Linked DNA regions of Caenorhabditis elegans. The protein of the gene in region 4 interacts with the protein of the main gene of each other region in a pairwise test. Each region holds a gene or a part of one and is shown on either strand. Other genes may lie near its edges.

Region 1 (7,318 bases), on a different chromosome or scaffold from region 4:
TAGAATCACGACTAAGATTGTCCACAACGATTCACCGCCACCAAATTCTATTAAGAATTTATCTTGTTCCCTAATGGAAACAAAAAAATTCCTTTTAAAATGGGCGGTTCATGTCATTTTTATTTATTATGTTTTGTGATAACAATACCAGAACTACTGAATGCAGTGTGCTGAGAACGAGTACGCTACTGAATGCAGTGTGCTGAGAACGAGTTGGCCGCGCCGTAGGCGCGGTCAGCGGCTGGTAACCACATAAAATACGAAAATCATTTTTTTTTGGTGTTTACTCAAAATTTCTCTAACAAGACAAAACCAAATAGAAGTGATTTTGTGACACGCGGAACGGGAAAGGATCCGGATATTTAATACAGGAAGAAGGCAGATAAGTTTTGTAAGATTGTATTTATCATCAGTCGCGTTAAACATTCCATTTCGTAGACTTCCCACTCCTTTGTGATATTTCTCAACATTTTTATTGGAAACCGTTGTCTTTTTGTAAATGTACGTACCAACATTAGTCTATCAGTGAGATCTCTTTATTATTTGTTCAATTGATTTCACACGCAATCATAAATTATTGGATTTTCTGTTAACTTTGGAGATTAGAAATGTCTGGTTGTAATGTTAATGACTAGATTGAAGGAGGGTTGGTACTAGCTTCAGATGGTTGTGTCTGCTGGTAGTTAATATTAGCAAGTGAGGTAGCAGCTGTAGCGGCCGATGGTGTCGTCGTCATTCGAAGTGCCAAACTTTTCTGGTAGAACTCGTCGTCAGCTTGGAAAGAGGTGATGGAATGACCGAAACTGAAATTAACGAAATATTTATCCCACAGTAAAAAGACGAACAAACTTTGCAATGGGATTAGTGAACGAGTTGGAATATGAAGGAGAAGCTGTTGGGTATGGCATTGGTCGTTGATATGATTGATACCAAAAACCGTCACGATTCAATGCAGCTGGGTACATTCCTTGTCGCATCAAAGTATTCGCTGGATTGGATAGGAATGAGTGCGGGGGATTGATTGCCTGTAAATAACTTTTTTGATGAATTCAGAATATATTCGTCATCTTCCTACCTTATTCAATTGTTTTTCATGCTTCCGATGTTTTGCTCGCCGATTTTGGAACCACACCTGCAAACAAAATTGGATTACTCGAGAAATTAGTGGGGAGTATGAGTATGATCAAGTCAGATCTAGAGGGATGGAGTAGAGACAGCCAGGTGGCAAAACTGTTACGCAATAAGTAAAGGAAGTGTGAATACGCTACAGTAATCCTGAAATCCTTACATCTAGAAACAAGATATCTAGTAATACATTAGTGTGTCATTGTTTTTTTAATTTTACGAATTGGAGTCAGAAATGTATTTAAATTTATAATTCTACGTTAAACATTGTATTTAAAATTATCAGGGAAAAATGAATAAATGTGATTTTGGCGCAATTTAGTAATTAATTAAAAACGCAATTTAGTATTAAAATAATGTATACTGTTGGGTATATACGACAACCAAATTCTACAAGATTGTATGTAAACAAATAATTGGAGTATTTATTTCAGATTCTACAAAGTTCAAAAGTATCTTAATACCCACACAATCCAACCAAAGAAAGTTTTTAAAAGTCACGTCATAAAGTATTACTGTCTCCGGATCTTTAATCCTTCCTTTCCTTTTCTGTTCCTCGCTACACTCTCTTTTCTTTTTATCAAGTCCCTTCATTTCCTTTTTCTGTATTTCTAAATGTTGATAGACTGCTCAAGAATAAGGGAAAAGCTGTGGTGAGGAAGGATATTGAGAAAGCGGCAAAGGCAGAGCATAATTCAATTTGCTTGCCTCCTAACAAAGACGCCGATGTTGGAAGAGAAGAAGACGATGGGTTACGGTAGACTGGTGATAGAGAGTTTCTTTTGAACAAGAGTTTTAGAGATTCAAAGGCACTAGTTTTGAGTTGTTATTATTATTATTATGAATATTTAAAAAAAAAGGATACCGTATGACGGATATGGAAGTAGGTAGACAATGAAAAAAATCAGAAAGGGTGAGAAGTTTTAAGCATGTATCATTGAATCTAGGCAAAGTTTTATTTGTTTTATTAGAAAGTTCAGAGAACTCTATAAATAGAAAAAAGTTCAGAGAACTTTATAAATAGCAAAAGATAACTTACATCAGTAGATCGCAAAGAAAACAGTCAGAACTGAAAGCTTAATCACCAAAAAATAGAAGCTTATTTGAAGTCAAAGATGTGCTGAAAACATTATTGGTAATTCCACAAAACCGTCAATTTAGGAACGATAACCCATCTTTTCAGCACTAAGAAATAAAGCTCGAAACGCAGAAAAAAATCAGATTAATTCGAAAATTATATTCAATTTAGTTGAACAATCCAAAAAACTATTACCGGCTGAACATTGTCGTTTACCAAATATGTGTGCATTCTTTTCTCTACAAACGGATACTTCAAAGAAATTCCTTCATCAAACTTTTCAAGATGGTTTTTAATCAATTATATATTATTTCTGTACATCTATGTTAATTTTTAATTTTAAAAGTTGTATAAGTTCCCTATTATGGCAGATTGACTTTTTTGTCTCAATTTGTTCTTCTCAGCTTCACAAGCTCAATATCTAATCCCTACCAGATGTGTGATGGTGCGTGGTGGATTTAGCGCACAGTAGGTGACCAGGAGGTGGTAGACAACTATCCAAAGGCAGCAATTAACGCGAGATGAATACCAATAAGAAGTGAGGAAGAAGATAAAGAATATGAAGAAGAGAAAGAAACAACAAATTAGAGCACATGTCTCACAAATTGAGCATACAGTTTAATTTCGAAGCTCACCTGTATTCGAGCTTCATTCAACTTGGTGATCCTTGCCAATTCCTCTCGAACGTAGATATCCGGATAGTGACTCTTTTGGAATGCAGCATCAAGCTCCTGAAGTTGTTCCTGAGTGAATGTCGTCCGATGTCTCCGCCTGGAATTGAGACGCTCTGATTCGGGCCGTTCTAGGCTACACAGCCTGCAATTAAGAAAGGCCGTGGAGCACTAGGTGGGTGGGGGAAGGCAAGAAAATACGTGAGAAGTACGGTAGAGTTTGTTGAAAATTAACTTGACTATTGATAGAAATTGAAGATATGAAAATATAGGCGGCACAAGTCAAATTTTGGCTCTTTCAAGTTGTATAATTATATTTGGCTTTCTAAATTTTTAAATTTGGCCAAATAGTGGCCAAAAAAATAATAAACGCAAACATATTTTGTCAAGGGTTTGGTAAATAGCCAAATTTACTTTTAAAAAACTGGGTTTTTGGAGTAGTTTCAATAAATGAAATCTAGATAACTGCCTTATTTTGACATTGAATACCTACATACATCAAATCCCTTCTACATCTACCGTACCCCTATCTTCCAAAATATTAAGAATACTCACCTTGCAGGCGTGTTCGTGACCCCAGCAATCGAAGATCCAAATACCGAGCCACCGAGTCCTTCGGTTTTAATCTTTTTGAAGGCGCCATCTGCAACATCACCAGTTTTAAGGCTTAAAAATGGAAAGTGGGCAGATGTTCGGAGGAATGCAGAATTTCGAAATTCTTAGTGTGAATTGCAAGGAATAATCAAAGAAATATGACACCCTTCTCTACATTGTCTTACCATAATAATACATTGTTAGATTGAGTTGTTAATTCCTAAATCTGCTCACACAAGTACTAAAATAGTAAATAAGAAGAGAGACACTTCGCGCACAAAGTCAAGACTAGTGGATACAATAGAACGGATGGATAAGAGTGAGCATCTGGCAACAGGCGTCATAATTGGCTCGGTGGCACATGCTCCAGAGATGTGAAGTACCATTGAGGAGGGGAAGAGCAAGGCGGGGGGACATGGTAAGGGTATCAGTTGTACTAACACAGCATGATACCTTTGGCGGAAGCTATTGCGCAACACTAATAAAGAAAACACTTGAAGTGGTTTTTGCTGAATCTTGGGATAGGTGAGAATATCAAACGAAATAATAAGAGAAGCTCAGGGTCAGAAGGACCTTTTGCTCAACCTAGAAGGCACTGATGCAAGGAATGAACTGGCATGCGGACGACGAAGGAGAGACATCAAATATGATTCCGCAAATCTGATATATTCTGATGTAATTTTGTTCGCCTTGCTAAAGCGAAGCTCCTCCCTACCAGTGTAGAAAAAAAGAAGATGGAATGTAGAGACTAACCTGATGATGGATCCGAAATTGGACGAAGACTTGCCGAGACTGTATCCAAAGAGCTCGGATAGTAGGCAGTGAAATCGTGAAGAGATACTCCAAGATCTTTCACTTTTTCTTGGAACTGAAAATATAGATCATGATGTAGGTTCCAGTAGAACGTTTTTATACTAATGTAAGGTGAATTGAGGAATCTGTTGGAATCGATTAATGGAAGGACGGTAATAAGGAAATCCACAGTAACACTAGAACTTTAAAGTAAAACATAACGCCAAGAAGACTAATAAAAATTCAGTGACTTAACAGTTTTTCAGCAGAGATTCTACCGGCTTAAGATCTATTTTTCAAAATGTTCGGTTCCACTTACAAACTAATATAAACTAATACAGTTGGTTTTTTAACTTTTTTGTGACTAAAAAATCAGACATCAGTGTCGAGGTATTGTATGATCATTATCTAGAACCCCGTCCAACATTAGCTTCTTTAGGATTGAACACACCAAGATCAGATCTTTAGCGGTGTTTGTGGTGGGACTTTTAGTTTTTTCAAACCCATGTCTAAAGTTATTTCTTGTGAATTAAATTATTGATGTCCATGGTACGGTAGTCTGTGATTTTGATTTTAACATCAATTAAAATGGCGAGCTGAACAATAATTCTAGGGAAATTGGAGGCGAGAAAAGTTGGAAGGCTATCGATACCAGCTCCGGAAGACAACTGAGGAGGTTTGTGTGTGTGTGTGCCACTGATCGTGAGAGCATCTAACAATCAAATTTCCATAATGAATTTATGAGGGGAAGACACACACACACTTGGACTCCTCCCAGTCGTCTTCCGAAAAACGACAACGTCTTCAGGAGACGAAGAATATTGTGCGCGCCAGAAAAGTTAATTATGGAGCTCTCGGCGACGACCGACGGCGCCACCAAATCGTATTACTGTTTATTTCGTTTGCGTCGAGGGCCTCGGAGACTAGAATTAGTTAGCAAATTACCTGTGAGACAGTTGATGCTCCGTTCGCACCGTTCAGCAGATTGTCGCTCATTGTGTGAGTGAAAGCGGAGAAATGTGGAAAGTGAGGGGTGACCGAAGTCGTTGTCGACGTCGTCGTGGAGGCGGACAGGGTTGCTTCTGAAGAGAGGGGCAGCTGACTGGTCGCCGTCCGCCTCCGGCTGCTCCTCCTCCTTCACCACCGGCCCCAACCACCGTACCCATCTTTCCGCCAGAAGAGCTAGGTAGCCACGCCTTCTTTTTGATTTGGATTGGTTTGAGAGAGTCAAGTAAATTAGATTATTTGACAGCTTCTTCTTTCCGTCTTCTTATTCTTCAACTGAGCTTCTACACTTAACGGCAACGAATTCAGTGATCGGTGGAGAGCGAAAGCTATAATCGAGTTTGGACGGACTCTGAAGCCGGGTGGCGATAATCGCAATTAGAGAAGCAGTTCAACTGGCGAACCCCACACGAACACACGGACTAAATCCAAATTGGGTTGGAAAAATTGTGGGTTCGATTTGAAAGGGGATTTAATTTGTGGTTAAACTAAAATACTCAGTTACGCTAAAAATAATTAATTGAATTATTTAAACGTAGAAATGCTGCGATATGTTTAAAAAAAGGGAAATGTAATCAGAATGTTTGTAGTCATTTAATAATAACAATAATAATAATTTATTACGTTCTTGAAGAAGCGTGAAAAGAAAAAAGATGATACATACAAAGATTCATGTCGGAGGGTGGACTGGGAGATTATGGGCAAAGTGAAAGAACCTGAGGCGTAGAAAAAGAGCATGAGAAGGAGTAGGATAAAAAAACAGGAGATATCATAGGATAGTAATGAATGAATGTTATTGATCAAGAGTAGATGTCGTTCGTTTCCTAACTTAGTTATCCTTGTTTAAATTAGATAAAAATTTGAGGAATGACGGTTGGCTTAATGTTCTGTTAACGAAGAAATGTTTCCTAATTTTAAATTTACATCTGCTCCAAGAGAACTTTCTTTTACAACGCGTTCTAGTGTTGTCCGAGAAGGTAAAAAATTCAGGTACTTTCAGATCTATTTTACCGTTTAACATTTTCAAAATCATTTTTTTATCGGTTGTCAGACGTCGTCCTTGCAGCGGTGTGAGCCCAAATAATTCATTTCTTTCTGTCGAGGTTTTATATTCCGGATCACTTATTGAGACGTATTTGCCTACAGTCCTACTATATAGACGCCTTGTGAACGAATTTTGAACTGCCTCGATGGCTCCTATATCTGACTGCTTTGGTGGGCTACTTATAACGGTTCCGTACTCTAGCAAAAGCACAATAAATGTTTTATATAATAGGATCATCAGCTTTGGTTTGTTACTGTTATAATGGTTAAAAATTTGTGACATTTGAAATTTCGAGGAATTAATAGCCTTTTTCCAGTGTTCACTAAAATCCAGATTATGAGAGATCATAAAACCTAAGTCACGTGTCGTTGACTCTTTTTTGATATCCTGGCCGTTTATCTTATAAGTGAAATTTTGGCGTTTTTTCCCTATCGTGAGATGGACGGTTTTTTTGTTCATTAAGAGCCAATTTGTTACTGACGGACCAATTTGCTACTCTGTCTATTGCTTCTTGCAGACTATTAATCTGGTCGCCTTTTGGCGTGTGTACATACAGCTTGGTGTCATCTGCAAACTGCTGCACTTTAACATTTGCGGGCAGTATTGTTGGGATCTCATTAACGTAAATTCCAAAAAGAACTGGTGAGAGTACAGCGCCTTGCGGAACCCCACATTTAGCGTTTTTTACAGTAGATAGTGTATTTCCTATTTTAACTCTAAATGTCCTTTCTATTAGAAAACTATTGATCCAGACTATGATATGTTTATTCAGTCCCAGGCGTATCAGTTTATTGAGGAGAATGTCGTGGGGAATTCTGTCAAATGCCTTGCTGTAATCTAAATATGACGTCAATTTGGGCTCCCAGATCTAGGTTGCTTGTCCAGTCATTCAAACTATTCATCAGATTAGAGATCGTTGATTTTGTAGGTCTGAACCCATGCTGGTTCTCATTCCAAAAATTGATTTCTCTAAGATACGGTTCTATTTTTTTCAGTAAGCATCGCTCA
Region 2 (7,343 bases), on a different chromosome or scaffold from region 4:
ATATGAACAAGTTCGTAAGTGATAATACAGAATGAAATACCACGCAATGTAGGGAAGGCAAATATAAATATGTCAGTTTTCAAGTTTAACCCCATCAATATATATCAGTTCACATTGGAAAGTGAAAGAAAAGACAATCCCGCAACATGCCAACAATTTTCAAACGAAAACGCACATCCGAGAGAGAATGGAGCAATTAGAGAAACCGACGTCGTTTTGCTTATTGGAGGTGTCAAGAAAGAATTCAACAAAAGCAGTACCTATTGAAAAGATAATAGGCGGATGTTGAAGCAGAGCAAGAAATGTTGAACAAAATGAGCAGTGTACCCGGAAATAGATACAATGAGCTAGAAGGAGGCTTCGGAGAAAAAGGAACATTAAAATTCAAATCACGGGAGGTATATGAGGGATGTTCTCTGAAATTGCACGACACGATCATGGTTGGGGTGATGAGTAAAGAAAAGTTAAGGAATCGATAAAGCTATAAACTGTATTTTCTGCATATTTGTGCTCAGTAGGAATCAGGTTTTGCCATAAACATATGGTATGTAGGATTGGAGAACTGGTTCTGATACATTTGCATAAAAGGATTGGGTCGATCCATAAACGTGTGCATCGTATGAAGATGTTGATCCCGTTTAATGTTTTCAGGAGAGAAGGTCAAGCTCTCGTCGGTGGTTGGTGTTCCGATTGACGCATTTCCCGAATCGCTACTCTCGTCATGTTCCGGAGACAATTGACTCTTTTTTTCGTTTTCATGAACCTGGAAATTTTAGAATGTTTCGTTTTGTTTTAGTTTTTTATGTGGTTGCAATTTAATAAAATAAACAGGCAAGTTTGAATCTAGAGAATTGAGTACTGTAAAATCATCTCATCTCTTTTTTTGTCTACTTTTCTCTTTGAATAGAATGGGTGGATGAAGGAATGTCTCATTTGAAACGCCATAAATGCAAATCAAATTCGCGCACGGTTCGGTAAGAAGTGCTAGGCGCGGTGACTAAGAGTGTGTATGTGGAAAAGAACTAGTTTCTTTTCAAAACAAATTATCAAATTTTCATACTGTTTTTTTTTTCATAATAAGATTAATGAGGAAAGACAGTAATCCGCTAAGATTCTACAAAATGAAAATGTGAGATAAAACTAGCTTGTTTTAAAAAACTTTTTTGCAACAAGCTGAAAAAATGGGGAAAATACCCTGATAAAATTTGTATCAAAAAATTATTAGCGAAGAAAAATTTCTAAATGTTGATAGTTCTAAAAGAAGGTTGGCCAAAATTCAAAATGCATAAATTAAACATTTGTCAATAACATTTATGGTATTTCAAATTAAAAAAAGAGAAGTTTAGCCCAATTATCAAAATTTGATAAATTGAATATAGCACTTGCATACCGCATAAGATTCAGCAAGAATTTGGGTACCTAAATTTGACAAGGATTTACTACATCTCTCCAAAAATCGACACGATGAGAGGTGTGAACCCTGCTCATCTATACCATCTTTCTCCCTCATCTCATGTAATCCTCTCAAACCGGAGACAATAGGCACACGACTTACCTTGGTGTGTTTGCGCAACGAGCTTGGATGCGTGTACGTTTTTCCACAATCTGGGTACTGAAAAAAACAGTTTTTTTAAATAACAAACTGGGGTTTATCTAGACCTACCATACAACTATAAGGTTTGTGACTAGAATGTACATGCATATGCTTCTTGCGATCTGAAGAGTTGGCGAACAGTTTTGTGCATCCATTATGTGTGCATTGGAATGGTTTCTCTCCTGAAATAACAAATTACTCACATCATAATGGCTGCTGAAGTACACTCGTACAGGTGCTACAAATTGTTCCAGTCTCACTATAGAGATAAGTTTTCTGTTGGGAATACTAGCAGGTGCTAGATATGGTGCTAAAGTTCAAAAGGATAGCTGCACTCATACAATAAATCAAGAACCCGTGAGACAGCTGAGGCATTCGCATATTCGAATATTCTTAGAATATTCTTGCTACGGCACTAGGATAATGAAAAATGAAAAATGAAAAATCAGATGAATGCAGCAGCTGCACCTGCTCAAAATGGTAATTTTTGAGAAATCAATGGCTTTTCCAAGTCAAAATTTCAATCAAATTTAATTATGCAATTGAACATTGACATTCAGAAATGCTAATATTCCCATCCAAAATGTACTATTACATCATTGGGACTGTCCATCTTTCACAAGTGGAAAGCGGCGGGTTGGATCAAAAAGACGGAAGCTAAATCTTTAGACTAAACATTATGTAACTTAGAGCATCATCACAAGGATAATCATCGGCTTGTTTTCAAAGGTTTTCATCACATAATTAGTGGTGTCAGGAAGTCAAACAAATCCGTTATAGAAGTATTAGAAGATGTTTTTTGAGGAAAATTGTGTTTCTTTCTCAAAGATTTTACTATTTTTTTTTTCATTCTACTTATCCCGAGAATGGAACAATTGAGATCAGTGTCTCCCCCTCACCATAAACGGATTACGGTAAACGACGAACGTGAATAATAAACAGGCGAGATTATCACAAAAGCGAAGCAATAGGATCGTTTCGAGATTTGCTTGACAATAGGAGTTACTGACATCGTAAATCTTGCGATCCTCAAAAGTTGCGGATCGAAGAATAACCCCCTTTCCCTGCTTTGGAATTCATGATGATGAATGTGTGGGTTCTATTATGAAAAGGGCCTGGTCATACTGCCCGGAATCATTATTGCTTTTTCAATAGCAAATGCTTGTGTGGAAGGCAACTCAAGAGCTGCTCAGTGATGAGAGGAATATCTATCACCTGCGTTTGACACTTGACATTGGAATTGCATGTATCATTTCATTAAGAGCATACCTAACCTATGCTAATCCCTTATTACACCTTCTACAACAACAACCACTCTCTCGTTATTTTGTATTAAATATCACACATACCTGAGTGAATTCGTTTGTGGATTTTTAGATTCTCGGATCTTGCGAACACTTTGTTGCAAACATCGCATAAAAACGGACGTTCTCCAGTGTGCACTCGCATGTGGTTTACCAGTTTGTACTTGGCCTGCAAGAAAAGCATATCGTGTATTGAGTTCTATTCAGGATTACGCAAAGGTGCAAATGAGCATAATTGCAGGGGAAGAACCTATTTTAATACCGTGTTCACCCAAGAATAGAAATCGGACACAATTAAAACTTATGACGCAACAAGGGTAGACGATAGTGTTTAGTGCAGAAGCACGGGTCAGTTGGACTTGCAAGACATATTTGGAATGACTCGAAGCCTGTATTTTCTCTATTAGGATGACGCTTCCATTAGTTTGCACCTCTACTAAAAGTTGGATACATCTTGAACAATGCTTACATATAGTTGGGAAATAAGTTACTTTGTAGCTAAAAACAAATTCAATTCTGAATAGGAAATTCCAAAAAAACAACTTGCTCAAAATTTGTAGTACAGCCACTTACATCATTATTATTTTTACATTTTCTAATAGTATTTCATCTAAGTAGGTGACTAATAGAGAAGGCTTGATATTAAAGTTCCAAACTTGAGTTTAATCTTATTGAGTTTATCCGAAAAACTATACCTTAAACATTTTGAACTCTCGGTCGCATCCTTTCCAAAGACATACAAACTTGCTGTCATGCGTGATATGGTTTGAACTGATATGAGTTGACAATTCTCCTGAATTCTGACATACGTGCATACACACTTGTCCATTGGTCTCCCATAAACATTGCACTTGCTTGTCACCACCGTAACTGCCGAGGGTACTGAAATAAGATGATTGGCCTTGAATTATATACTAGCTGGAGTGGGGAAGGGTTGCATGATTTGAAACTGATTTTCAAATATTTGACTGGGGATAGTCTCTACAATTACTTACTTTGGATATATGAAGGGATCCACTTGGGCTGGAAGAAAGTGAGGCACCTGTGACATGTTCATGTAGAAGCTCGGAGAGTAAGCATGTGGATCTGTAATATAGATAAATGTATATTGTTTTCTTTATTTTTCATTTACATACCTGAATATGGTTGGACAGATGCTTGCCATTCTGGCTGCTGCTCTACTGTAGGACCTTGTGACTGAGTATAATAGTCACTATGCATCATTTTGTCTGAAAATAAGGTTCTGTAAATGTTTTTAAAATAAATAGAAAAGCAACCAAAGAGAACATGTGAGGAAAAGGTAACTGCTAAGAAAACAACTATACAAAAAAGTTTAAAGATGGATAAGATGACACCAGATATTAAGCTCAAGACAGTAGGAAGTCAGTCGAGTAAGCTAATGTTTTTTCCAGTTAGTTGAGCGTGGTCTCTAGTGGTAACGGCCACGCCTACCACACGGATTGGTGAGAACTGAGGTAGATGGGCGGAGCGAAGTGACGACGATGTGAATAGGAAAGGGCGAGTCGGCTGTCACAAACACAAATATTGGAGGCAGTGATTTTGTTTTTTTCGTTGAAGTATGGAAAAAATAGACACACAGACAGCCAAATAGACATTTATCGATGGAAATTGAAAACTGTTACACTTGATTTCGGGTTTGTCATTAGACTGAAAATTGTATAATTAATACTAAATGTGTACTTTTTCTGAATGGCTAGGGGTATCAATAAATAATTGAAGTTCATATAAAAGTTTTATTGTATTTTTCAAGGCCTGTCACAGAAATTTAGGAAATATTACTGAAAAAAATCAACGTGTTTATTTCTCCAAAAATTTATTTTTATTTGTTTCGTTTTGAAATGAGTGAGTTTAAAAAAAACAAAGGCATCATATACTTAGTCATTTATATTTGCTTACTCGTGATTTGAAAATGCATAAAGCTCTAAATAATGAGTCTGAAATATACAGAAACATGTATAAACCAAATGAAACAAAAACAACTATTGATGGTGCAGTACCGAAATCTGAGACTTTGCTTCTTTAGACCCAGAATGACCCAAAACCACCAAATTTGAGACGTTTTTAAAATTTCTCAAAAAAAAAGTTATGACGTCCGAAGTTCTAGAAAAAATAATGAGGGTTTTATTGGGAGTTTATTCGTTGATTTAAGAACATTTTCGGCTAGTGGGGCACAAATAGAAGTTACATTTTTGTGCCACACCGGCCGAAAATGCACTTACATCAAAAAATAAATTCCTAATAAAAGACCACAATTTTTATTAAAGAGTCATAATTAAACAGAAATCAAGTTCCAGACGTTGAGACACAGAAAAGGTGGCAAAAAATTTGATTTTAGCTGAAAATGGGTCTTTCTCCAGAACTTTGAACCGGCATAACTTTTTTTTTGAGAAATTTTGAAAGTGGCTCATTACGAAATTTGGTAGTTTTGGGTTATTTTAGGTTTAAAAATGCATAGTCAGATTTCGGTACTCCACCTCTAAAAAAAGTTAATTCAGTTAGAACTAATTAAAATATTGTACACAACATCATCTTGTTGCAGATGTGTTTAAAAATGTTTACAGTTTCAAAATCAATGCAACACTGCAGTGATATAATAAACACGCCAAGAATGAGGTGACAGAAACGTTTGGTCAACTGATTCGGAAGACTCATAAATCATTTCTCTACCGCATCTCGAGGTAATAATTAGCTCATCTCGTATATTCTCTAATACTCGATTGGTGACTAATATTTAAAAAAAAACTAGAAATTACCTTTTTGTATAGTGTTGGCTGGAATCGACATATGGTGGAAATTGGAGAGCATGTGTTGCAGTATTGTGCTCCAAGTGCTCTCAAATAGGTGTTGTAAATAGAAACTACAAAAAAAGTAGGAAAGTCGGTCAAGTCATGCAACTGGTGGTCAGAATTGAAAACAGATCATAAAAATAATGCTCTTGAAAATCAGAAAATTTTCAGCAGTTTGAGATTCTAGTACAACGTTTTTATATACATATGCGTGAGAATCATGGGCGTATTGACAGCCATGGGAACGCATGCCTGTCTACTTGGAACATGGTTGTATCTGGGAATTATTCGGATTTGTACGCGTGGGCGATATCAAATTTGGAGCATAGTGGGGCATCACGTGTTCCCACCAATGTCAATGGGAAAAATTTCACTGTGAATGTATTGCATGGGAAAATAAAATAAGGATCTAATTGCAAACTATCTTTGGTTTTAATGAAATGCGGTAAGTAGGAAAACCAGAAAAATGAATAGTTAAAAGTTTTGAGGCCAATCGTCAAATTAATCATGATCTGTTTTCTGTTTTTCATCGTTCGGTAATATTCAAAAACAAAACACTACTTCTATTCTACATTCCCTCATTCGTAACGTTTTTTAGTGGAATCTGGTTTGAAAACAGCGCATCCGCTACAGTACCCCGTCATTCAAAACTATTGACTTTTCGTCTGCTTGTCAGTTAAAAGTGCGCGAAAAGGCGTGTTTCGATAAACGATGATATCTCCTCATCTGTAATCATTTATACAATGAAGTGAGGGAGATGAGGTGAGAAAATTGTTGCAAAGAAGGACAGACCGCAAGAAAGTTCAGTTGCCGGCAAGGTGTTAGATTTGATGGATTATTATAGTGGTGACAGCGGCACGCGACACCGATCGACTAGACCTTGAGGCAAAACGAGTCAAGACTCGTGAATTCATCGTTTTGTTGCGTAACTCTCGTCTAAATGATACTCTAATGGAATCGGTTTTCAATTGCGTCGAGAACAACGCAATGAATTGGTTGCAAAATTTTGAAGAAGGTTGTTTTGTAAAAGATATGATGAAAATATTTTCGTGGCAACTTGTTATCGTGTCCTAATGAAAAAGTTAGAGTTAGAACAAATAATTGTTACACCTGCGAACTTTTATTCATTCATACTAACTTCAAATCGTTTTCATTATTTTTAAACGACAAAAAGTTGTTTTAAAAACCACTATTTTTTGTATGAAAAAGGTCAGTACTTGTGCAAGGAAAATTATCAGAATACACTTTCAAGAAAAACGTTTGCAATTTTCTGCAAAACTTGATTTAATTCCATTTAAAATTCAACAATTATCCTCCGATTTTGTTTGAAAGTGAAGCAGCGGCAGTGGGAAAACTGTTAAAATCATTCATATGATGCCAAAATGACCAAATATACTAATTAAACTTTAAAAAATACTTTCAATAAAAGGTAATTATTAAGTTTTTGCCACTGGTTCGGAAGTCATCGATAAAAAACAACGTTTTTCCATCGGATTTTATGATTTACTTATGATTTACAAGCGACAGTGCTATAGTTTTTTCAAAAAAGTGGCAAAAACTTCAGAAGTTGTCCCTATTTGACTCTCAATCAATTTGAAATTTTTTTAACGTGTTACAACGATATTCGATAATTTTGAC
Region 3 (6,631 bases), on a different chromosome or scaffold from region 4:
TTTAAATAACTAAATATCATAATACAAACTTTTAGAAACGTTTTGGACATTTTTTTTTATTTCGAGTCAAAACTTTTGAAATTGAAATGTAGACTCCAATTTTTTACGCTTTATGGTGTACTGTAGTTCCTAGATCCACATTGTTTCAAAATTTTCTTGGATTTTATGTTGCCACAACATTTTTGCACCTTTCATTATTCTTAAGTTCAGATTTTCCAAAAAAGGTGCGAAGAAACGAAAAAAAAACTATAAAAAATGAAGAAAACCAATGCAGCAAAGAGCTAGAAACTACAGTAATCTTCAGACACTTATTTGTATTTTGAAAAACGTTCATTAATTTTTTTAAAAATAAATTTAGTAAAGTTCTAATTAATTTTTACTTTTTAAAGGAAGAAGGTTGTTTCGAATCAACTTTTTTCGTGATTTTTTTTTGTAAATTTCCTTTCTATTGCTACAAAATTTTTTCTTCGGTATTATTCGATGTGTTTGAAAATGAAGACCGTCGAGAGTGATAAATTTAAAATGTATAATTCTTTCTTTTTAAAATTACCAGAAGAGGTAGAGACAATGTACATTTAATACATGAGAAATTGAGCAAACTGTAATATAAAGGTAACCCGAACATATAAACGAGGGCTGTTTCTGTGGTGGCTGCTAGTGGGAAAAAAACCCGTGATTGAATCTAAATGATTAGAATCCTGGATAAAAAGTTATGGCAACATGAAAGGGACTGAGATATTTCAAAAAATCTAAACAAATCTACGCAGAAAAATCGTATGTTAAAAACAATAAACATGATTCTATAATGAGCAGTTCAAAATGGATTTTTGAGTTGTTGCATGACATAATCGGGAAGAGTGTCCGGCTCGGCGAGAATGCTCGAGTTGGTTGCAAGAGAGACCTGAAATTTATAAATTGATTATTAATGAGTATCTATATTATATTTACCAAAAGTGTACTCGCAAGCGGCCGAAGTTCTGTGGCTTTCCAATTTTTGTTCAGCCAATCAGAACACGAGGCGGCTACTTCATTTCTTGACGACGAGTCTCCTGCTACAGACGATGCGAAAGAGTTTGTTTGTGTGACACAGATTGGTTTCAGCATTTGGGACATCTATTATGAAGTTGTATTAATTTGTCTCAATAGTAATTCAAAATTTTTGCGGTTGCTTTGTCAAAAATACGGGCCTCGACGTGATAAATTCTTTTTTAGTGCCAAAAGGATGTGCACCTTGGTGGAGAAATATTTCGATTTTTCAGCAATAGATTTTAAAAAAATTTCAACTTTTCTGCTAGATAACTTACCACCCAAAATCTCCAATTCTTTTTCGCGCCTTCTTTGACATATCTATCGAAAAATGTTTCCAGTGAAGTTTTCGAGTCCACCTGTGATGAACTGGATGGTGCACTCGATTGGGGAAGATTTGATTGTAAGGATCTGAATTGATACAGTTTTAAAATATTTCAACAAAAAACTATCTTACGTTATTTTCTGATTCAGTTTTTCGATTTTCGCTTTGGCCTCGTCGATCTTCTGTGTTTTATCCCATTTTTCGGCCTGCAATCTTCGAATATGATCCGCTGACTTGGCTAGAACGACAGCATTCGTTGGCTTAACACCGCCAGAATACAAATCGGGTATCTGGAAAAAAAATAAAATTTTGAATTGGAGATTTCATGAGAAAAACCAAAACTTACAATATCCATAAGCTGGTCGAATCCATCTTTCAGTGCACTTCTTCGGTTTTGCTCAGCGTGTAAATGCAATATTCTTTTGCGTTCTTCTGGGTGCAATGTGGAATCTGGAGCTTGTCGTCGCATTGATTTGACACTTGATGGTGCACTCATCAACAGTGGTTCTTCTTTTGTTACTTCCTTCAATTCGGTGGGTGTGGTTGGTAAGTCTGAAATTTACTTAATTTAAACTCAGTTGGAGATAACATAACTTTGGTGAAGAAACATTAAAAAATATGCTTACAATGCCTTCCGGATTTCTCCTCGACCTTCACAGCCATTTTTCCATTGAGTAGATTGACATCACAAGACTGCTGCCTGTTCACTAATGGCGCCATCGCTGCTTCTTGCTCTTTTCGTTTTGACGACGCCGACGGTGGTGTGATGATCTTCGGTGGATGCTGTGAAGCTTGTACTGGAACTGACGCGGGACCACTAATATCTCCAGATGTTGAAGGACTTTCTAATATTGACGGCTTCGTGGTAACCGACGCAGCAAAAGCTTGATAAGTAGGCGATCCTTCTACTATATGACTCATTTTCCATGATTCATTGAGAGATGATGTGCGTAAGCGAGAAAGGCTAGAAATATCCAGAGGAGATGGTGTTGGTGTATTCTGTGATGTTAATGAAGTGAATATTCTTTCAGGTTTATTCTCGACATTTCCAAAAATTGTTGAAGTTCGACTAATTGGAGGTTGTTCTAATCTTTGTGATAAAGTTGGAACACCACTGGTAGTCCCACTCATTTTAAATCCACCCGGTGTATTATTTCCACCGAATAAAAAACCGTTGTCCGCACTCCCAATAAGCTGACCCAATGGAGTCTGCGGTCCCGTTTGATTGGCAAGAGGCAATGGTGTTGCTACTGATAATGGTGATTGAACACTTGCAGTCAACGGACTATCCAGCCACCATGATCTCGATGGAGCCATCATTGGATCATGAGATTGGGGTTGTGGAGTAGGTTGAGTGGATTGAAGAAATTGAGGAAGATATGGATCATTTTGAGTCGGCAGCAAATTAGATCTGGATGGAGGCGGAACAAGTGGTGGTTGATTATTCAGAATTCGTTCGACGTGGGATTGATGTGGTAGGGAAACCTGAAGTTATTGAATTTCGAGAAACTGTCTAAATGTTCATGCATTTTTCAAACTAACCAAGAAGTTACTTTGTTGTTGCTTATTCCAAGGTGAATGCTGACTCGTATGGCCCAAATGATGTTGGTTTGTCATTGTATTTCGAATTGGGAGAAATGAGTTATTCGTGCTATAGTGTGTTGATGTGGCATACTGTGGTTGTGAAGACAATGTCGATGCGGATTGACTGAGCATAAGCATTTGTGAAGTAATTGCAGATGATTGTCGTGTCGGCATTAATCGATAGTCCATCATAATCGACGAAGCCATAAACTCATGTGGACGAGCCGCAACAGGTTGTTGAATTTGAATTTGATGTTGCAGTTGTTGAGATGGTTGAGATATTTGAGATATGGATTGAGCCTGAGCCTGAGCAACTTGCATTTGATGCAAAGACGCCGAAGATGAAGCAGATCTTCTCATTTGAGGAATTTGTTGTGCTGATATTGATGGCTGATCATTCGTCGGAGTTCTCATTGTGTCCCGATCATTGTGGAATGGCGGAGAATCTGGCATATCGTCGCCTAATGACATCATGATATCCTCGATTGTTGGCTGTAGTGGGAGGAGTCCTGGCTGCATGATATCAGCGTTATTTCCACTATCTGAAACAAGTTTTTGACGATTAGACATATAAAGCATGAAGTATTTATAAAGATTAATAGATTTACTGAAAATATTTTAACACATATTTTGTTCCATCAAATGAAATAGTTTCTAAACTGCTACAAAATTCAAATAAAACTAACATAATATGTTTAGTTTCTTTCATAATCAAAAGTTAAAAATAAAATAAAAAACTCACAAACATCTCTTGGATCCGGAAACATGTAAGGTTCACTCAGAGAATTTAGAAAATCATCAGTGAAAACATTATCCAAGTCATCAAAATCCCATGCAAATTCATCAGAAATCGTGTGTTTTGGCGTCTGACTTCTTTGAAGTTTTACAGGTGGCTCATAGCTTCGCAACTTGCTTTCAATTGTTTCTTTTGGAACGGTGTGTTTCTTTAAAAAAATGTCTTCGATATTTATTAAAATTTTGTTTCTAATTTTTTGTTTCGATTTCGTCTGTTTTCGGATGTTTCTTGTCGCTTTTTCCTTTTTTCATTTAAATATTTCGAAGTTTAAATTAATTTTTCAAATATAAAAAAAAGAAATTACAGAAAATAGAAGATTATTGTGTGGAATTTCTTCAAAGTGGAACTAATTTTTTATAAAATGCAGTGATTTTTTTTTTGAAAAAATGAACACGAAAAAATTGTTTTTTTTTCGATTGTATAAAACCAAATATCTGCCGACGCTACTAGAAACAGACGATTATGCAGCAACAAGAGTTTGAAATTACAGTACTCTTTGAAGGCACACACCTTAATGTATTAAACAAGAATTTGTCGTGTCGAGACCATGTACCGTAGTTTTGACGCAAAACTCGAAAGGTTTCGCGTCTGGGTAATCTTCCACTTTCATTTGGTGTATAAAAAAGCTTCGAGAAAAATCATACCCTTTTCCGTTTCAATTCTCCCGTCATACTGCTGACGCTTGTCGAAGAGCACGTCGCCACCATTCCTCCCTTATCCGTGACCAAATTATGTTTCGAACGAATTCTCCATCGTTTATATTGTGCACACACACCTTCCATTTTTCTTTTCCAATACATTCCTTCGACAATCGATCCCTCGATTTTTTGATGTGTTGTGTCATCGTCGGGTACGGCAAAGTAGCAGAATGGTTTTTTCGGCTTTTCTGGCTGCTTTTTTCGAACTGTAAGACAAGATTTTGAACAATAGCTGATAAAATTAAAGAGGGAACTTACATTCAATATAATATGCTCTCCAAATAACATTATTCAATCGTACCCTCTGCTTCCAATGAAGACGTAATCCTTTGAAATCCTTCCATTTTGGAGTTGTCATTTTGCTACAAACTAACAATGCCATCAATTTTTATTGAAGATAAACTTACTTATAAGCAACTTTGATACATTTGTTCAACTTATTCAGTGATACATCAATCGCGATCGACTGTGTTTTACCAACTCCAAACTTGTAAAACGTCACCGGTTTCTCGTCGAGAGCCTTATTTTTATGATGAACTGATGATGATGCTTCCATTGATTTATCATCATCTTCAACTACATCCACTTCAACATCTTCTTCATCTTCATCTTGTACTAGATCGTCGTGGGGATTCGAACACATAAAGTGCCCACTGTGTATAATCTGCCCGCGCGACATTTTTGTCTGAAAATATTGAAATCTTTTGAAAAGTAGAAACAGTGAAATGAAGAATTATAGAGGATGAAAGTAAATTTACTAGGTAACAATGTACAATTGATTATTTGGAATTACAATTCATCCAATCACGAACAAAAATCCCATATTGCCAAATTTTCAGAATTATGTGCTTCAAGGTGTGAGCTCAACTAAAATCTACACATTTTCGTAAACTTTGCAAAAACTTATAGCTTGGCCCTGAGGAACTTTTTTAGGAAAAAAGGAAGTGGAGAAATGTGGGAAAATTGTGTGTGAGAGCGATGACAATAAGCAAGGAAGAAACGACGAAGGACGGACGGACGGGGAGAGCGATGGAGGATCAGTTGTTACAACACGTGACCGACTAAAAGAGTGTCTAGGTCTCTTGTTGTTGAATTATTTTTTTTGTGCATTGTTTTGGAAAACCGCTGCAAAAGGCGTTAAAGATAGGTTCACTATTTATGGAATTGCAAAATTTTATTTAAGATATTAGAAAGCTATTTCAGAAGTTTTTTTTACAGGTGCGAAAATTAAAACAGATAGGGTGCATTTCATTAAGTCGAGTTTATTTATTTATTTATTTTAAATATGGAAAAATATTTTTGAAACTTGTCCCCGCAAAAAGTTTTGACACTGGTCAGTTCAGTTAAACAAAATTATGCGTTTTGGCAAAACTACTTAGAGTACGATAATCCGATTTGAATTCAACTTTGTACGACCTAGATAGTATTGAACAGTTTGTGGGTGTGACAGGGACAAAAGTCAATCGATACAGGGTTTCAGAGAACCAACATCGGAGAGGATGGGGGACGAAAAAGATAGGAAAAATCATATATCGAATCGTCGACCAGCGACAGTCACAACGATATACAGTGTTGGTGTGAAATAGGGGGAGAAAACGAGACATATTTGTGAAAAGAAAACGACGAAACGGAGGGAGAATGGATGGAAGAATACGATTGATAACACAAACAGAATGGCCATTATCTGATAATAATGATAACAAGCAGCGGGGGTCGCTCCCGGGAGGACGTATATTTTCACAGATTTCATGACTATTTTGTTTTACATCAAAACAATTATAGTTTCAGTTTGCAATTTTTCTCAACAAAAATAGACAGTAGGTTGTATTAATAAGAACCATGATTCTCTCAACTACGTAAAACTATCTTGATTCGCACCTGCACAACCAGTACATTATATCGTACGCGCATTATATACCGTACCTGGCAGGCAATCAGACAATTTTGACAATTCGATAATATATCCGAAATAATTGGAATATTTTATAGAAACAACTCAAAAAAAGAACAAAAAACTAATTTCTAATGTAGCAAATGTTTTTTTGGTAAAAAAATATTACGTTCGGCACTTGCCGAATTTCCGGAACCTAGTCATATTAACAAACAGAAAATCATAATTCAGAAGTAAAAAGAAAATTAGAAAAGGGTTCTGAAACTTAGAAATAAATAAACGTTAACCTATGCCCCTAATATGTTAGAGTT
Region 4 (7,977 bases):
GAAGGAAAATATGGAGTGAGTAGAACAGTTGATTTAATTTTAGAAATACTTTTTTTTAGAAATTAACGTTCTTGTTTGAAGGATTTAAATAGTGTTAAAAACATTTAAATGTTGAAAATTGAAATTATCTGCCAACACGAGCGAACTAAAAAAATTTTAAAGTGGAAAGAAAATATAGAGTAGATGAAACAGTTGATTTAATTTTTTTTGTTTCAAAATTTTCAGTTTCTCGAGTTGTTAATATAAAATTGATTTTTAAAGCTATTCCATATAACAAATCGTCGAGAAATAAGAATTTGAAAAAAAAAACAAATTTCGTACTGTTTCAAAACGTTTATAAATATCAGTTATATAATTTCAGCTTTAATTTCTATCTTCTTTCAGATGGAACATAATAAATTTTTAATAAAAATGTAGAATAATTTGTTTTTCTTCTAAAAATTAACATTAGGTGAGTTTTAAAAAAATCATTTCTTATTAGCTAAATATAACAATTTGATTGTTTAAAAAAATAAATTTGAAAATTGATAAACTTCTATTCACTTTATGTGATTCGTTTTCAAAACTAAATCATAAATAAAGTAGATTTAAAAAAAAAACAAAACGGAAGAGTTTGGAATTGGAATTCTCAAGAAAAATTGTATGTTTCAACTAGTTTTGAAAAACTAATGACTAATGGAAAAACACAATGATGTGCAGGTCGCTTATGAAGAAAAATATTTCATATTAACTTACTGGTATTTTGAATCACTTGAAAACTGTGAAAAGAATAAGTAACTCATAAAAATTTCAGACTCTTTATGTCTCATGGGGAACTTGCAAACACAAAGGAAACGAAAAAAAAATGCTAAAAACATATAGCTCACCCTCAAATCATCCAACATTTCAGTAATGTAGAAATTGTTTGGAGGCTGCAAAAGTCGAAAATTCTGTCGAGCAGGTTCTTCGCTGTCCTCATCGATAGTTGCTTGTCGTTTCTGAAAATATTACTCGGTTAGAGAACTGCATAAAATATGAAAGAGTCTGGTATTGAATTAAATGATAGCCACGAAACAGTAAACTTTTTTTTTTCAAAAAAAAGTACAATTTCGTCAAGTTAATGTAAATCATGTTCTAATTTAAAATGTGTTGCGAGTCTGGTCTCTTTTGTATTATTGAAAACTATAATTTAAAAAAAAATCGAAAAAAATAATCATTTTTTTTGGCAGAACAATGTATTTCTACAATTTCTTGAAATTTCAAAATTCATATCAAAACTGACCAATAATGCTCTTGGAGGAGGCAACCTATCAGTTTGTGTACTCATTTCCTTCTTCTTTTCAGCTTTCGCCTTTTCCAAACTCATTGCCGCCAGCTCGTCGACTTCTTTGAAAAATGGTTCAACTGTGAAACAGCCGAATAAGTCAGTGAGAAGTGGAATTTCTCCTTGATTTGAAAATGTTTGAGCAAATTGGAGATTTTCACTCATCGCATTTGCTAGTTCCTGCAAAAATTGGGGAACATGAATTTGGAGAAGTTATGAACTATAAAAGTAGTTTAGAATAAATTCGAATGAGGCAAGTAAATATGAATCCAAAAACAAACAGTTCAGATTTATAATAAATGAATATCAAACATTGTTGAAACGGTAGATTTTCAAAATTTTAACTTTTAAATGTGTGACTGTGTAGAAGCAAAGTTAAGATTTTAATACTTTAAAATTTCATTTTCTTTCTAGTTGAACATTTCCAAAAAAATTGTGAGTTAACCCTCTACAAATATTTTTCTCGTCGTCAAATCAGTAAAAGCCTATAACGTTTAAAGCGCCTTGAACAAATCACTCGAAACCCATTGTTGCTTATCATTACACGAAACGGAAAAAAAGTTTTACCATTTTTAAAAAAATCAATTTTTAAAATAAAACAACGTTTCAAATCCCTTAAAAACTCTGTTCAACGTCAAACAAATAAAACAAATATGAACTTACTGTAACAGTAGCCAATGAAAGAAGTATATGTCCGTAACATACATTCGGTGTCGGACTTAATCGAACCTCCTTAACAATTGAAAAAAGACAATCAGCAATTCGATTTCTCAGCTCAACAATCTTTTCAAACAAAGAATCCGATACATCTTTTGCCAGAGGATTCAGACAAATCATTGCATTCACGCAAACAATTTCCTCTTCTCTCATACCATATTCCCGATATACTGCTACAAGCTCATTTAGAGCACGTTCCACGAGTCCGTTGCCGAGGTGACTGAAATTTTGAAATGATTTTAAGAAATACAAAAGTAATGAATTCTTGAAAATGCTGACTAATATAATAGTTTACCGAAACGGAACGAGAATAAACATTTCAAGTTGAAAAATTGTTCACTGTTTCAAACTTATTTGAAAAGTGCATGATCTTTTTGAGGCTTTAATTACAAGAACATCGAACCAAATAAGTGAAAATTGTCTTCAAAATATAGACAAATCAAGTATTATTCTCAAATGGCATTATCAAAATATTTTATTATTTTTTGATTTCCCCGTTAATTTGCTGTCAAACTCACACAACGTGGCGTGGCGTCATAAGTCTTAAATAAGAGCAAAGAACATATGTACATATGAAAATTTAAAGTCGTGAAAGCATTTGTACAAGTAATATTCTCAATTGGCATTATCAATTAAACAAAAAAGAATTTTTTTAGAAATTCATTTCTAAAATGAAGAAATACCTAGAAAACAATTTAGTTGATTTTTAAAAAATTTCACTGTTACACTAACATTATTTTTGTGTTTGAAATTAGGAAAAAATGTTTCTCAAATTGTTGTAAGGTTTTGTGATTGCCTCGCTAATTTTCCGTCAAGCTCCTAAATTGGACACATATGTACTTTATAAACAAATATGAATAAGAAATGTTTACTGTTTCACATTGTTAGTGAATTCTAGCTAGCTATTCTATTTAATATTGAAACTTCTCATAAAGTCCAAGAAAATAATTCAAAAAAACTAAAACTCACTATGTGTCCTCATACATTTTTGATATATTCCGTGGAACATATGCAAAATTACAAAGGCATAGAACATTCTCATCCTGACAAGCTTCTGCTGTTCTCGCACAAAAATTGAAGACCATAAGTGGGGCGAATGAAGATTTGACCAGTGCTATCTGAGGGAATATTATTAATTAAGCGTGATTTTTAAGTTAAAATTGGGAATTTTTTTGAAAACAATTTGAAACCAATTTTTTTGTGCAAATGATGTTACACTAAAAATGAAAAAAAGCTGTGTGGCGTGTACTGCAGAAAACCTAATATTTAGGCCCCGCCTTCTTCTCGTCCACTCACGGAGAAAAGGCAAAAATTTGGACCCCAACCAATATCAGGCCGCCAACATCTCACAGGTTCCACGCGCAGCTATGTTTAACTCGCAGCGGGCGGAGACAGCTCACCACGCCCACAGCGAGTTAAACGCAGCGGCGCGCGGAACCCGTGAGATGTCGGCGGTATGATATTGGTTGGGGTCCCGAATTTCGCCTTTATCCCGTGAGTAGACGAAAAAAAGGCGGGGCCTAAATATTAGGTTGTCTGCAGTACACGCCACGCAGTTTTTTATTTTAAGTGTATTTGCAGTCAACATTAGAAAAATCCTGAAAAATAAAATTTTGGAATTTCGGAATTTTGGAATTTTTTTTTAAAGACTTTTGAAACAGTAACTATTGAAAAAAGGTGTTCTGTGTCAACTTCTCACCTTTTTTTCAGCGAAATCAAAGTTTTTCAAAGAGATTTAGTATCAGGCCAGAAAGTTGAAGAAAAACTAGCAATTATAATTAAATCCACTTTAAAACTAAATTTGAGGATAAAGCCATGTAGCAAGTAATGAATGGAGAGCGCTTTGTAGAAACAAACGTCAGTTAAATAAATAGGGTGAAGCAATATTTTTTTTTTATTTTTTTCAATTTTCTAAAACTTATTTTTTCTAAATTCCATTATTTTCTCACTTTGCAAAGAATATTTATTACCTTATCCTGAGGCGTTAGGTGTCCCAACAGTGGTGACAGCGATTCAACCCAATCAATTGCAGCAATCAACCTCCGATAGGCAATTGCACATAACTCATCATTTCCAGCCATTCTGTATGCTTCATATCTCATTTCTGTTCGTTTTCCTTTTAATTGAATCGGTGTTTCAATGATATCACTGAGCTTATCAATTCCTTTCAGCGGGTACAGTTTTGATGCTTCTTGTTGTGTATCTCCTTTCATTACCTGTAATTAATAGAAATTGTGTCAGCAGCCGACGATAACCGAGGCCCCCGCGCGAAATACCTACTTTTGTCTCAATATTCAACAGTGTCATTAATATTGTTCTCATCTCAACCGTCATCTTTTTCATCCACTCCTCGCGGCTTTTTGTGGTCCTACCACGATCAGTTTGATCGCACGTGGCTACTGTAGTTGTCGGCTTACGTGGCTTTGGAGGTGCGTCTCGGTTTGGGCGGACATCTGAGATATCATATTAAATTTGAAGGATGAGTACCGTTAAAACAAAAGCTGAAACATTTATGGGAAACTTGAAACTGAAAATTTTTGAAATAATTTTTGTCTTAAAAAGGGGAGTTCAATAGTATTTAATACATTCGAAACTGCTATATTGTTCCAAATATGTTTAACTGCTTTACTGCATAATTTTTTTTTGTTTTTGCTATATTATAAACGGAAAAATTAAATATTGAATTGATATCAAAACACAAAACGTATAAAGTCTGGAAAATCAAAAATTGAAAAAAAAAACTACTGTTTCAAGAATAAAATTTACTTTCAGGTATTAACTGAAAACGATTTATTTTTATGTATATTCGAACTTATGTCACGATTTAAAAATCGTATAGAAATAAATAAAAAATTCCAAAAATTTTGGATTGAAAATAAAACTCACAAGCAGGATTCATTCCTTCGCGTAGGCACTTATTGAATCTACAGCTTCTGCATTGGGTTTTCTCTGAAAGAAAAAACACAATAAATTGACTTTGGTAAAGGAAAAACTGTTTCAAGCGCGCAATTGCATAGGTTTTATGATTAAAATTATTTAACGAATTTATAATTTTTACTGTTTCAACACTAAAATATACATTTTGACTCAAACAGAATGTCAATATGACTTTGATAGCTTTCAAAAAGTAAAAAAAAGTAAAAAACTGCGCAATTCCCAATGTCAAACTCACGCAAAACACTAACTGTACACTCTCCATTTGCAGCACATTCCAGTTGATCAGCCTTCAGAAGAGCCCGACGGAAGAAGCCTTTACATCCGACACAGCTCAGTGCTCCGTAGTGAAGAGCAGCTTTTTCGGCTCCGCATACCTGAAATGTAATTGATGTGCCCCATAATTTTTTTACTTTAATTTACGGGAATTTGCAACTTGTAGCAACGAAGATTCAGGATAAGTTTTGTATTTAAATCTTTGTCAACTTAATTTAAAATTTATAAAGCTCTGTTTCACCTTCTCCAGGAATGGCAATTGCTTTAGACAATAATATTAATTTATTGAAAAAAACTTTCCCGTCCTAACTACATATACGAAAACTCACGTGATTTTTCAAAATATGTGCCCCTTTGTGAGTGGTTCAATGATGCAAACAGACTCTAAATTCCGTAATCCGATAAAACAAAAATTGGTCACAGAACATTTTAGTGAGGAACTTTTAAAAGTGTGGAAACTTTTTTTATAGGAAAAAAATTACTGTTTCAAAAAGTTTAGAACAATTTTAGAAATTTTTGTGCAATACTAGTCTAACTTTGCAAAGATTTGAAACTAACTTTGCAAAGATTTGTGGACGAGCTGCTGCCCAAATTGCTGTCCTCGGTTTCTTCGTCAGAATCTGAAAATTTTAAAGTTTAAAAATTTTTGGTCAAACAGGGAATCATACCATTCAAAGTAATCACATTGCTACTCCCAGAATTTCTATTCACATTTGAACTGTTACCGCCAGAAGACATAATTGATGTCAAATTAAATTGAAAGACTTTGCAATGAGATTGATTATCTGAAATTGAAAAAAAAATGATTAGATGAAAAGAAAATTGAAGAGAAGATTCAAAAAATCGAAAATTTAAAAATTCCACTGTTTCAATGAGAGTGTGAATTAATGCCTGTCTTGTTATAAAATTGCTATATCTGGTTTTTTTGGTATCTCAAATGATAAGCTGGAATCAATTAAGAAATTACAAAAAATTCTTTGAAAGTAGATTTTCGAAAAAAAAAAAGGATAATTATGGGAAAAATAGAATAATTAACAACAAATATTACAGAAGAAATAAAATTTGTATTCAAAAAGTGTCATTACTGTTTCAAAAAATCAATAATTTCTCCGATTTTATATTACTGACAATAGGGGGTGTTCACCAAAATTTTAATTATTCTAAATCATTTTCAAAATTAGAAATCAAACCAAAATCAAAAAGTCTTATTTTTGAAACGATGAAAAATGCAATGCTATTCCAGAAAAGTTTTATATACACTTTTAAGAAATTTTTGGTAAGTTTGAATATGACACAATTATTGATTCCAAAAAATTATATTAAAATTTGAGAACATTCAGAAAAAGTAGAAAATTGTGAATTTTAACAATCAATTTTTTTTGAAATTAACTGAACATTTGGGATATTCAAAATACATAACTTTTTATTAAAAATAAAAATTTGAAAACTCTTGAAAACCACCATTTTCTACCGTTTCTAAAATCTCTTCTGCACCAAAAAAAAATTCGGTAAAAAATTATCGAATTTTATTTTTTCGAAACAGAAAAAATAGAAGAAGCTATTCCAAAATTCAAAGCTTTTGCGTATAAATTTCACATTGAAGCAACTTTGTAATAACGAGAAACTTAACTTCAAAATATAAGAACATTCAGAAAAAGTAGACATTTTTGAATTATAAATTATAAACGCTTTAAATTAGTTTTATGTAATTTTTTTTTGAAAATTTGCTGTTTCAGTAATTATTAAAATGGTGATGCTTATTTGTTAAATTGTTTTTACTAGCAAATGCTATGAGATTTTGGAATATCAAATTTTCTAGACCGTTTTCTGAAGTTCATTAAAGTTAATATTTCTAACAACCTCCTGATTTTTACCAAAAACCCTTAATAAATCTGCTAGCAAAAAAAATAAATGTTTTCGTTAATTTTATTACAGTTTCAAAATTATGGGATCTGGAAAAATTGTAAGCAGCAGTATTCGTCTTGTTGATTACCTAAGTTGAATTCTCGAAATATAGAAAAAAAACATTATTGCGCGGAAACACAAAAATTCCTTCCAAAAAAGTGAATTATCAGTAACCCAGAAGAGAGAAATCAATACAAAAAAGAATCAGGCCCCCTCTACCGACAAACAAGTCGCCGTCAAGTACGGTCATGTGTCTCTTTTTCTCTCTCTCTGATCAGAAGACTAGATTTTCTGATTCTCTTCAGTCCAGCACACTATCTCATGGAATAAATATCTTCTATCTTTGAACTGTGCGGTTGGAAGTATTTAGTGGAGAGAGAGAGAGAGAGAGAGAGAGAGAGAGAGAGAGAGAGAGAGAGAGAGAGAAAAGTGATGGGAAGTTGAAACTTGACCAATACGACGATTTTTTCAAATTAAGCGGGCTTCTTGCGTTGAACGATCAAAGTTTGGAGGTGATTGATTATTTGGATCGATTTGGCCTTCGCAATATATCAGAAATCGTTTTTATCACGAGAAAATTTTTAATTTCAGTAAAATGGAAATTGTAAGTAAAACGATACGAATGGGATTAAAGGAACACTGAACATTTTATGGAGGTTGTGAAACAATATTCTTTTTTTTTGTTGCAATTTTTAAAATATTCTACCGTAAGTCCTAAAGTCCTAAAGGGAAAACTTGGATCAATTTTTTGAAATATTATTAAAGACATTTTTGCGGCTTTAACACAAATTGACAAGATTATTACCGTTGAAAAGTAACAGGGTTTATGAGAATGTTGAAGC

Evidence for each region.
Region 1: the proteins of nhr-5 (region 4) and unc-42 interact in a two-hybrid assay, tested with the Caenorhabditis elegans proteins (one large-scale study listed by BioGRID).
Region 2: the proteins of nhr-5 (region 4) and ref-2 interact in a two-hybrid assay, tested with the Caenorhabditis elegans proteins (one large-scale study listed by BioGRID).
Region 3: the proteins of nhr-5 (region 4) and mml-1 interact in a two-hybrid assay, tested with the Caenorhabditis elegans proteins (one large-scale study listed by BioGRID).

What each region holds. Positions count from the first base shown.
Region 1 is NC_003283.11:9,764,014-9,771,331, forward strand, and holds unc-42 (Homeobox protein unc-42), read right to left. Parts: upstream 5,344-7,318; 5' UTR 5,257-5,343; coding exon 5,206-5,256; intron 5,153-5,205; exon of another isoform or gene 5,015-5,152; intron 4,337-5,014; coding exon 4,222-4,336; intron 3,740-4,221; exon of another isoform or gene 3,667-3,739; coding exon of another isoform or gene 3,654-3,666; intron 3,518-3,653; coding exon 3,430-3,517; intron 3,020-3,429; coding exon 2,839-3,019; intron 1,133-2,838; coding exon 1,076-1,132; intron 1,026-1,075; coding exon 850-1,025; intron 804-849; coding exon 632-803; 3' UTR 521-631; downstream 1-520. UniProt on the Caenorhabditis elegans protein: Probable transcription factor. Required for initial outgrowth and pathfinding of axon growth cones along the ventral nerve cord (VNC).
Region 2 is NC_003284.9:7,742,599-7,749,941, reverse strand, and holds ref-2 (Zinc finger transcription factor ref-2), read right to left. Parts: upstream 5,704-7,343; coding exon 5,673-5,703; intron 4,128-5,672; coding exon 4,035-4,127; intron 3,985-4,034; coding exon 3,894-3,984; intron 3,781-3,893; coding exon 3,594-3,780; intron 3,068-3,593; coding exon 2,944-3,067; intron 2,916-2,943; exon of another isoform or gene 2,523-2,915; intron 1,777-2,522; coding exon 1,664-1,776; intron 1,613-1,663; coding exon 1,556-1,612; intron 764-1,555; coding exon 512-763; downstream 1-511. UniProt on the Caenorhabditis elegans protein: Transcription factor. Modulates expression of target genes by binding to regulatory elements. Required for normal cell division timing and cell positioning in anterior lineages, acting in a cell-autonomous manner.
Region 3 is NC_003281.10:7,369,618-7,376,248, forward strand, and holds mml-1 (Protein WBSCR14 homolog), read right to left. Parts: upstream 5,115-6,631; 5' UTR 5,109-5,114; coding exon 4,837-5,108; intron 4,792-4,836; coding exon 4,688-4,791; exon of another isoform or gene 4,636-4,687; coding exon 4,376-4,635; intron 3,880-4,375; coding exon 3,678-3,879; intron 3,478-3,677; coding exon 2,894-3,477; intron 2,837-2,893; coding exon 1,978-2,836; intron 1,904-1,977; coding exon 1,698-1,903; intron 1,642-1,697; coding exon 1,484-1,641; intron 1,438-1,483; coding exon 1,305-1,437; coding exon of another isoform or gene 1,269-1,304; exon of another isoform or gene 1,114-1,268; coding exon 949-1,113; exon of another isoform or gene 902-948; coding exon 815-901; 3' UTR 514-814; downstream 1-513. UniProt on the Caenorhabditis elegans protein: Transcription factor that binds to the E box motif 5'-CACGTG-3', probably in a heterodimeric complex with mxl-2.
Region 4 is NC_003282.8:15,398,324-15,406,300, reverse strand, and holds the start of nhr-5 (Nuclear hormone receptor family member nhr-5), read right to left. Parts: upstream 6,025-7,977; 5' UTR 5,969-6,024; coding exon 5,899-5,968; intron 5,851-5,898; coding exon 5,789-5,850; intron 5,779-5,788; exon of another isoform or gene 5,758-5,778; intron 5,530-5,757; exon of another isoform or gene 5,509-5,529; intron 5,332-5,508; coding exon 5,193-5,331; intron 5,145-5,192; exon of another isoform or gene 5,124-5,144; intron 5,014-5,123; exon of another isoform or gene 4,993-5,013; intron 4,970-4,992; coding exon 4,907-4,969; intron 4,832-4,906; exon of another isoform or gene 4,811-4,831; intron 4,730-4,810; exon of another isoform or gene 4,709-4,729; intron 4,504-4,708; exon of another isoform or gene 4,483-4,503; intron 4,474-4,482; coding exon 4,301-4,473; intron 4,237-4,300; coding exon 3,991-4,236; intron 3,859-3,990; exon of another isoform or gene 3,838-3,858; intron 3,139-3,837; coding exon 2,990-3,138; intron 2,960-2,989; exon of another isoform or gene 2,938-2,959; intron 2,807-2,937; exon of another isoform or gene 2,785-2,806; intron 2,428-2,784; exon of another isoform or gene 2,403-2,427; intron 2,278-2,402; exon of another isoform or gene 2,257-2,277; intron 2,241-2,256; and 18 more. UniProt on the Caenorhabditis elegans protein: Orphan nuclear receptor.